2 linked regions of the Macaca mulatta genome follow. The protein of the gene in region 1 binds, or shares a complex with, the protein of each later gene. Links are inferred from orthologs where the notes say so. Each region holds a gene or a part of one and is shown on either strand. Other genes may lie near its edges.

Region 1 (3,644 bases):
AACTGCTGACTTCAGAAGATTTCCCCCCCACTTGGCCTCCCAAAGTGCTGGGATTACAGATGTGAGCCACTGCGGCTGGCCTAGGATTTTCTTTAGAATTCAGTGAGATGGTGCATGTAAAGTATTTAGCACAGGGCCTGATACCTAGAAGCATTCAATGAAGATTAGCCCCAGAAAGCAAGCCAGTGAGGTTAGAACAGAGTGAGTGAGGGAGAGAGTAGGGGCAGATATGAGCAGAAAGCTGAGGTGGGCAGACATAGGCCTGCCTTGTAGCCAGAGTAAGCATTTCGGCTTCTACTTTGTGTAATCTGGGAAGCCCCTGGAAGGGGTGGAGCAGAGGAGGGACTTGATCTGGACTTAAGCTCACTGTGGCTGCCGATGGGAGATTGAAGGGGGATAGAGCAAGCTTAGGGAGGTGGATTAGGGACCATACTCATAATCTGAAGTGATGGTGGCTTCGACTAAGGTGGTAGCAGTGGAAGGTGGAGGAGTGATTGGGATCCACATAGATTTTATTTTCTGAGTGTTTTTTTTGAAATCATGAAAAGGTGTTGGGTTTTGTATTCTTTGGACTTTACTGTACATAGGACCCAGTCAACTGTGAATAGAAATAATTTTACTTCTTCCTTTCCAATTTGGATGCCTTTTATTTCCTGCATATGTTTTAAGGGTAGAGCCAGCAGGATTTGCTACTGGACTTGTCCTGAAGTGTGTGAGAGAGAGAGAGGAATCAAAGAACTCTCCAAGGTTTATTGGCCTGAGCAACTGGGGATGGAGTCACCATTGACTGAGATGGGGATAACTCATCCCCTACCTCGGTTTGCTACGGAGGACTGGAGGGGGCTGTGGGAAAGCTTAGTTTTGGGCGCGATACATTTGAAAATGCCTATTAGTCATCTAAATGGCAGAGTTGGGTAGCTGGCAGTTGAGAAGGATTTGGAATTCAGGAGAGTGGCACAGTGACAGCACAGAGTGGTATTTTAATGGTATTAGATTGAGTGGCCGAAAAGCGAAGAGGTCTAAGGACTTGGCCTCAGCACCGAGTACGTCTCATTAGAATTGTGGATGAGGAGCTAGCAAAGGGGCTTGAGAGGAGCAGGCAGTGAGTGAGTGGGAGAGACATGAGCAGACTCATGCGGTTGGCGTCTGGCTCAGATTTCCTTTCTCTTCCTTTGGCTGGTGCAGAACTCATCCGTGTGCCACAGGAAAATAGTCCATGTTTTTCAGTGTCATGTAATTGAACAAAATAGGGGGTTTTTTTTGGCTAAATGAACTACTTGAATAGCGATTTGTTTGAGGTTAATGGAGACTTTATACATGGAGGAATGTTTGAAGTTAGCAATTTCTGAAAATAAGTCCAGACAATATAGTTACATGAATTTGCTGAATGTGACGCCTATTCAAGGCTTTCACTCTGTTAAACCAACATCTCAAATGGTGTGTGGTCTTGTCAGAAAGTCTGCTCACAGATGCACGAATCCCTTGTGTTTTATCTTTCAGATACATTGGTGAAGTAGGAGACATTGTAGTGGGAAGAATCACAGAGGTAACGTCGATATCAGATTGGTGTTTACAAAGTCGAGGCAGGCTGGCGATTGTATTCATGGGACAGTCATTCCACTTGTAGTTACATGAAAAAGGCATTCGTTGCATTTGGCTATTGTGTGGCCTCTGATGTAAATATGTGGCTTGTTCGATTTGGGATTACTGGTTACTTTCTTTTTCTTTTTTTGAGATGGAGTCTCGCTCTGTTGCCCAGGCTGGAGTGCAGTGGCGCGATCTTGGCTCGTTACAACCTCCGCCTCCAGGGTTCAAACGATTCTCCTGTCTCAGCCTCCTAAGTAGCTGGGATTATAGGCACCTGCTACCACGCCCGGCTAATTTTTGTATTTTTAGTAGAGACGGGGTTTCATCATATTGGTCAGGCTGGTCTCAAACTCCTGACCTTAAGTGAGCCACCACCTCGGCCTCCCAAAGTACTGGGATTACAGGCGTGAACCACCGCACCCAGCCTTACTGGTTACTTATGATGTGAACTCCTGTCCCTGGAGCATGTGTCCAGGTGTGGAACTTGGCTTATAGGTTCAACAGAAGAGGTGGAAGGTGGAGACCAACTCCAGGCTGGATTCGGTCTTGCTGCTCTCGTCCATGAACCTTCCTGGAGGAGAGCTGGTAAGGGCTACAGCTGGGGCCATGGACTGGAGCCCAGTGGGCTGGGGGGAGCTGTGGGACCCTTTGTTCCACCAGAGGACTTTGCTTTACACTGAGGTTACCCCTTTGACTCCCGTTTGTCTGCTGTGAAGTTTGCTGTCTGGATGTGTATGTAGACTTTTCACCCTGTCCAGGTCTCCCGAAAGAGGGAGCAGTTGGCATACGGTAGGATCAGAAACATCCATGGGGTGGGATCCCAACAGAGAGTTGGGGAGAGAAGCTCTTAGATGCTGCTTGTTAATAGCTTTCCTTTTCTGGACGTATCAGCTTTGCACAGTGAAGATGTTCCTTGGAAAGCTGTCTTTACGTTAGTTTTTTGTGAATTGAAAGGCATTTGGTTATTCCAGACAACCACAGTAACTAAGCCACAGCCTTTTGTAAAATACCATGGTTCACCTTTATCTTCAGTCCAGCATGTATTTACAGAGAGGCTTACTGTGCCAAGCTCTGTGCCAAGTGCCAAGCACGACTGAGTTCCCCAGCAGGGGATATAAGATAACTGACCCAGTATCTGGCAGTAGAAGAATAAATAAGCTGTGGTTATACAAAAGGAGTGGTTCATTCCAGTGAGAGAAGCTCGTAGGAAAGACAGGATGGAGAGACTTTAAATAACTAGTTCAGGGAATCTGAGATAAAGGGAAATGTGTGAGCAGAGATATATCCAAGCAGGAGTTAGTCTGGTCCTGCTGGACCACAGAGAGCTGTCATGGAAGATGAGTGTGGAAATGTTGGCTGGGTGAGATTGGGAGGGGTTGGAATGCTCCTCAGGGAAGGGAGGGAAAGAGGAAGAGAAGAGGACTATGGAAAAGTCTCTTGCGATGGAAAGTCGTGATTATCACTCATTCCCCTCAAGTGGCTCGGGTTACCTACTTTTGCCATAGTTCTCAGTGTTTGAGTATTGTGGTTGGCCTCAAAAATCTCAAAAGGAAGTGAAAGAGAAAGAAGTGATGGAGACCTTTCTGAGGACCTGGCTTCAGTAATGTCATTTCTTTGTGTATTTCAGAGGAGAAGATCTGCAGAAGATGAGCTTGCAATGAGAGGTTTCTTACAGGAAGGGGACCTTATCAGTGTATCCTGTGCTTTGCACTGCAGCCTCTTCATGCTTTTCTGTGGGGCTGGGAAATGGGCCTTCCATTGTATGTCTCTGACGGAAGAACCGTTAGACCAGGTGTCGGGCTCTGCTGTGTCCTTTCTCGGTCTCCTTAACTCAGGCTGACTCCCCAGCTCTTGTTCAGACCTGCTGCTAAGTCATTTCTTTGGGTCTTGTAACTTATGGTAGCCTGTGCTTGAGGCTTTTGTTAATGATGTTAACTTTTAGCCCAGGGAGTGGAAGAGGTGTTGTTCACATCAAGATATTAATGACAGGCCGAGTGTGGTGGCTCATGCCTGTAATCCCAGCGCTTTGGAAGGCCAAGGAGGGAGGATTGCTTGAG
Region 2 (4,089 bases), on another chromosome or scaffold:
AGACATCAATAAAGAGTAGCATTTTATTCACGTGCAGACCTCCCTTCTGGGGTAACACGCTGAGAAGAAAAAGTAGCAACTTTATTTTGGGGCTGCTTATCTTTTGATGACGGGCCCACACAACCAGAGTTCGGCTTTTTCAACCTGAGAAAGCTTACTTAAGTGGGGATGGGAGGCCGCGAAGAGGATCGGACCGCAGGACTGGAAGCTACAGTTAAAAAACCGGGAAAAGGCCGGGCGCGGTGGCTCACTTTGGGAGGAATCACCTGTAATTCCTGCACTTTGGGAGGCTGAGGCGGGCGGCTCAAGAGATCGAGACCATCCTGGCCAACATAGTGAAACCCCGTCTCTACTGAAAATACAAAAATTAGCTGGGCGTGATGGCGCGCGCCTGTAGTCCCAGCTGCGCGGGAGGCTGAGGCAGGAGAATCGCTTGATGCCAGGAGGCGGAGGTTGCAGTGCGCAGAGATCGCGCCACTGCACTCCAGCCTGGCCAAAGAGCGAGACTCCTTTTCAAAAACAAAACAAAACAAAAACCGGGAAAAGGTTTTATTTCTCAATGACAGCCGCGAGGTGAAACTGCGATGGACTGGAAGTCAAAAATCGCGGGTTCCAGTTTGGGCTCTATCTTGAAGATTTTGGACAAGTCAAACCCGGTCTCTGAATCTGAGGTTCCACATCTGTGAAACAGACGAGTTGGGTCGCTTGACCTCCTTCCTTCCTGCTCTGAACGTAACGGTTGCTCGCAAGGTGCGCTCCGGCTGAGGAGGGCGCAGCCCCGCAGGGCAGGGCGAGGAGAGAGCAGGAACCTGGACTCAAGACAAGGCCCCAGGGCATTGCCCGACCCAGAAAAAGGGACTAGGATGGGGAGCAAGGGCCGAGGCTTCGCCCTTACCTGCCGCCTGCCGACTCCCCAGTCAGCCAAACCGAGCCCCGCAGCCTCTGCCGCCGCTCACTGCCACCCTCTCCGACTCGGCGCCCCGGCCGGGCCCGGCTCAATCCAAACCACCATGGCCCGCCGCCTGCAGTGCCACCCAGCGGACCCGGACCTGCCGCCAGCCCATCCTCAACCACACGCGCAGGCGCAAGCATGGAGCGCTGAAGTTCCGCCCCCGGATTTGTCCCGGGGTAACCTGGGAAATGGAGTTTACACGCAAGGATAAAGAACACCAATTGACGCGTATCTTACTGCGGAACTGTGCCTGGGTTTGGCCAATGAGAAATCGATTTCGTTTTCATCCGGCTTTTGGGACAGCGGCAATCATGGCACCACCTGTGAGATACTGTATTCCCGGTAAGTGAGCGCTTCCCGTACAGAGTCCTGGATAGGGGCCGAAGCAAGAAGCCTGGACGGCCTGCAGTTTCTGGGGGCCCATGACCGATGCAGCATTTTTTCTGCAGGCGAACGTCTGTGTAACTTGGAGGAGGGCAGCCCGGGCAGCGGCACCTACACCCGCCACGGCTACATCTTTTCGTCGCTTGCCGGCTGCCTGATGAAGAGCAGCGAGAACGGCGCGGTAAAGGAAGCGGCATGCCGTCTCCTCTCTCTCTGTTTTTCCCTTAGGCTGCCCTTGAGTTCCAGTCCTTAGGCATGGGCACTGCGGACGCGTGTTTAGAGCCTTAGTGGTACAATGTTGGTCTCTTAGTTTCTTCTAGCCGTATCGCCGCTGTTGTGCACTTAGCCACCACACACTAGTTGTGTTGATCTCGCTTGGTTGTGCTGCTGACCCTCGGGGAGGGAGGTTGGGACAAAAGCAGATGCGAACTCAGTAACCTAGCCCAGCTCAGCCCAGCAGTGCGTTGTATACTGTATGAATGTTGCTTACCTCTCCGGCTTACCTCTAGTGCCACTATCTCCACCTCACTGACGCGATCTAATCATACAGTCTTTTCTATTTGTAAAAGTTATAATCACAGTTTTGGCTTGCCCTTTTAAAAAAATTTGTAACACACTAGCTTCTTTCAGTGTCGGTAATGTGCCAAGCTTTCTCCTGCTACAGAGCCTTTGTAACATGCCATCTATCTGGAACGCTTCTGTCTTCTTAGGCCTGTTTAATTCCTACCTCCGTTAGTTTCTGTATTATCACCTCAGAGAAGCCCTTCTGGACCCACTAATTGAGGAAAGGAGTTTTGTGGGATGTTTTGTTTTTGTTTGTTTTGTTAAAGACTTACAAAAAAACTCTGTCCCTTTTCTTCCAAGCACTTATGTCAGCATATGATTAGACACTCAGGTATGTTTCCCACTAGACTTCTCCCTTGCTTAAATCTAAGTTCCACGAAGTGCAGGTGCTACCACCATACCATCAGTATCTAGCACAAAGCAGCTCCTCAATAAATGTTTGTTGAATGCGTAATACCTACTTTTCTAGTTTTAGAGATTGATCCAGGATTAGCTCAGGATCATATAAGCAATATTTGAAGGAGCACAGTAGAAAGAGGATTCAGAATTAGAACCGTTAGGTTCTGGCTAACTTGACCTCGATTCTGCTTTGAGTAAGTAACTTAAGCCGTCTGACTCAAGGGGCTTTCTATTCAGTCATTGTTGGGAATGTCCTTAACAGTCCTGAGTTTGTTCATTTGATAGATACCACTTGAGTATTTTCATGTGTCAGGCACAGCGCTGACTTGGTTTCTGCTATCAAAGGACACAGACACAAATTGTAAACAAATAAATGCTCAAATAAGCATATGGTTACACATGTGGTGGCTGCTTTGAAAGAATATTACAGGGCACCTTAAGAACATGTAACAGGCAAATCCATCCTAGTCAGCAGAAGTGACATTGAAGCTGAATCATCTAAAGAGTAGGTTAGAGTCAGGTGGGTGGAGAGAGTGCAATTCTGGCAAAAAGAATAGGTTGAAGAGAGATCTGAAAGTGGGAAGAATTTAGTAAGTTGGGGAAACTGAAAGAAGGCCAGGAGAGCTGAAGCATTGTAAGCAACGGAGAGATTGTTAAAAGATGAGGCTCAAAATATCTGTCTCATACCAACAGCCAATACCATGCTCAAAGAGAAAACTCTGCAAGTATTCACTTAAAACAAGCGTAGCTACTATTTGTAACATTTCTGTGGAAATTTCAGCCTGTGCAGTAAAATAAGAAACAGAAAGAAGCAGTATAACTTTGGAGGAAAGAGTAAAATTGTCAGCCAGATGTAGTGGCTCACGCCTGTAATCCCAGCACTTTGGGAAGCCAAGGTGGGTTGATCACCTGAGGTCAGGTGTTCGAGACCAGTCTGACCAACATGGTGAAACCCCATCTCTACTAAAAATACAAAAAATTACCCGAGCATGGTGGCAGGCGTCTGTAATCCCAACTACTCGGGAGGCTGAGGCAGGAGAATCACTTGAACCCAGGAGGTGGAGGTTGCAGTGAACCGAGATGGCGCCATTGCACTCCACTCTGGGCAACAAGAGTGAAACTCCATCTCAAAAAAAAACCAAAAAAAGTAAAATTGTCAATGATTATAGGCAATATAGTTGTATACCAAGAAATTCTGAGAGAATCACCAGAAAACTTATTGGAAGTTTAGGGATTTACTACAAAAAAAATTAGCCGGGCGTGGTGGCAGGTGCCTGTAGTCTCAGCTACTTGGGAGGCTGAGGCTGGAGAATGGCATGAACCCGGGAGGTGGAGCTTGCAGTGAGCCGAGAATATGCCACTGCACTCCAGCCTGGGCAACAGAGCAAGACTCCATCTCCAACGACAACAAAAAAAAAGAAGTTTAGAGGTTTACATCTTCTAGCAGCATTCTGTAGCCCCCTGGTCCTCCTATTTCCTAAAATTTCTAAGGCCTTCTGCTCTGGCCTATAAATGAATGCATACTCCAGCTCTCACCTGTGTACCAAGACATTCCTATATTACTCTCAAGACACAAATGCTTTGACCCAAGAGTTAGCCAGGACATTTCAGTTTTTTTCTTTTTCCCTCTGTAGCTTCCTGTGGTGTCTGTAGTAAGAGAAACAGAGTCCCAGTTACTGCCAGATGTCGGAGCTATTGTAACCTGTAAGGTAAGTTTGTCCTAACTTCCATGCTTAGAACGCCCATTCAGTGCTGAAATCATGACCATGCCAGAACTGCAGTGTCCAGTA

What was found.
Region 2: EXOSC2 (region 1) and EXOSC1 share a complex: the UniProt entries of both Homo sapiens proteins name them as parts of the RNA exosome core complex. The link is inferred for Macaca mulatta from reciprocal best matches to the Homo sapiens genes EXOSC2 and EXOSC1.

Annotation. Positions count from the first base shown.
Region 1 is NC_133420.1:16,884,255-16,887,898, reverse strand, and holds part of EXOSC2 (exosome complex component RRP4), read left to right. Parts: intron 1-1,500; coding exon 1,501-1,546; intron 1,547-2,082; coding exon 2,083-2,172; intron 2,173-3,214; coding exon 3,215-3,280; intron 3,281-3,644. UniProt on the Homo sapiens protein: Non-catalytic component of the RNA exosome complex which has 3'->5' exoribonuclease activity and participates in a multitude of cellular RNA processing and degradation events.
Region 2 is NC_133414.1:109,495,361-109,499,449, reverse strand, and holds the start of EXOSC1 (exosome complex component CSL4), read left to right. Parts: upstream 1-1,239; 5' UTR 1,240-1,263; coding exon 1,264-1,294; intron 1,295-1,401; coding exon 1,402-1,517; intron 1,518-3,933; coding exon 3,934-4,008; intron 4,009-4,089. UniProt on the Homo sapiens protein: Non-catalytic component of the RNA exosome complex which has 3'->5' exoribonuclease activity and participates in a multitude of cellular RNA processing and degradation events.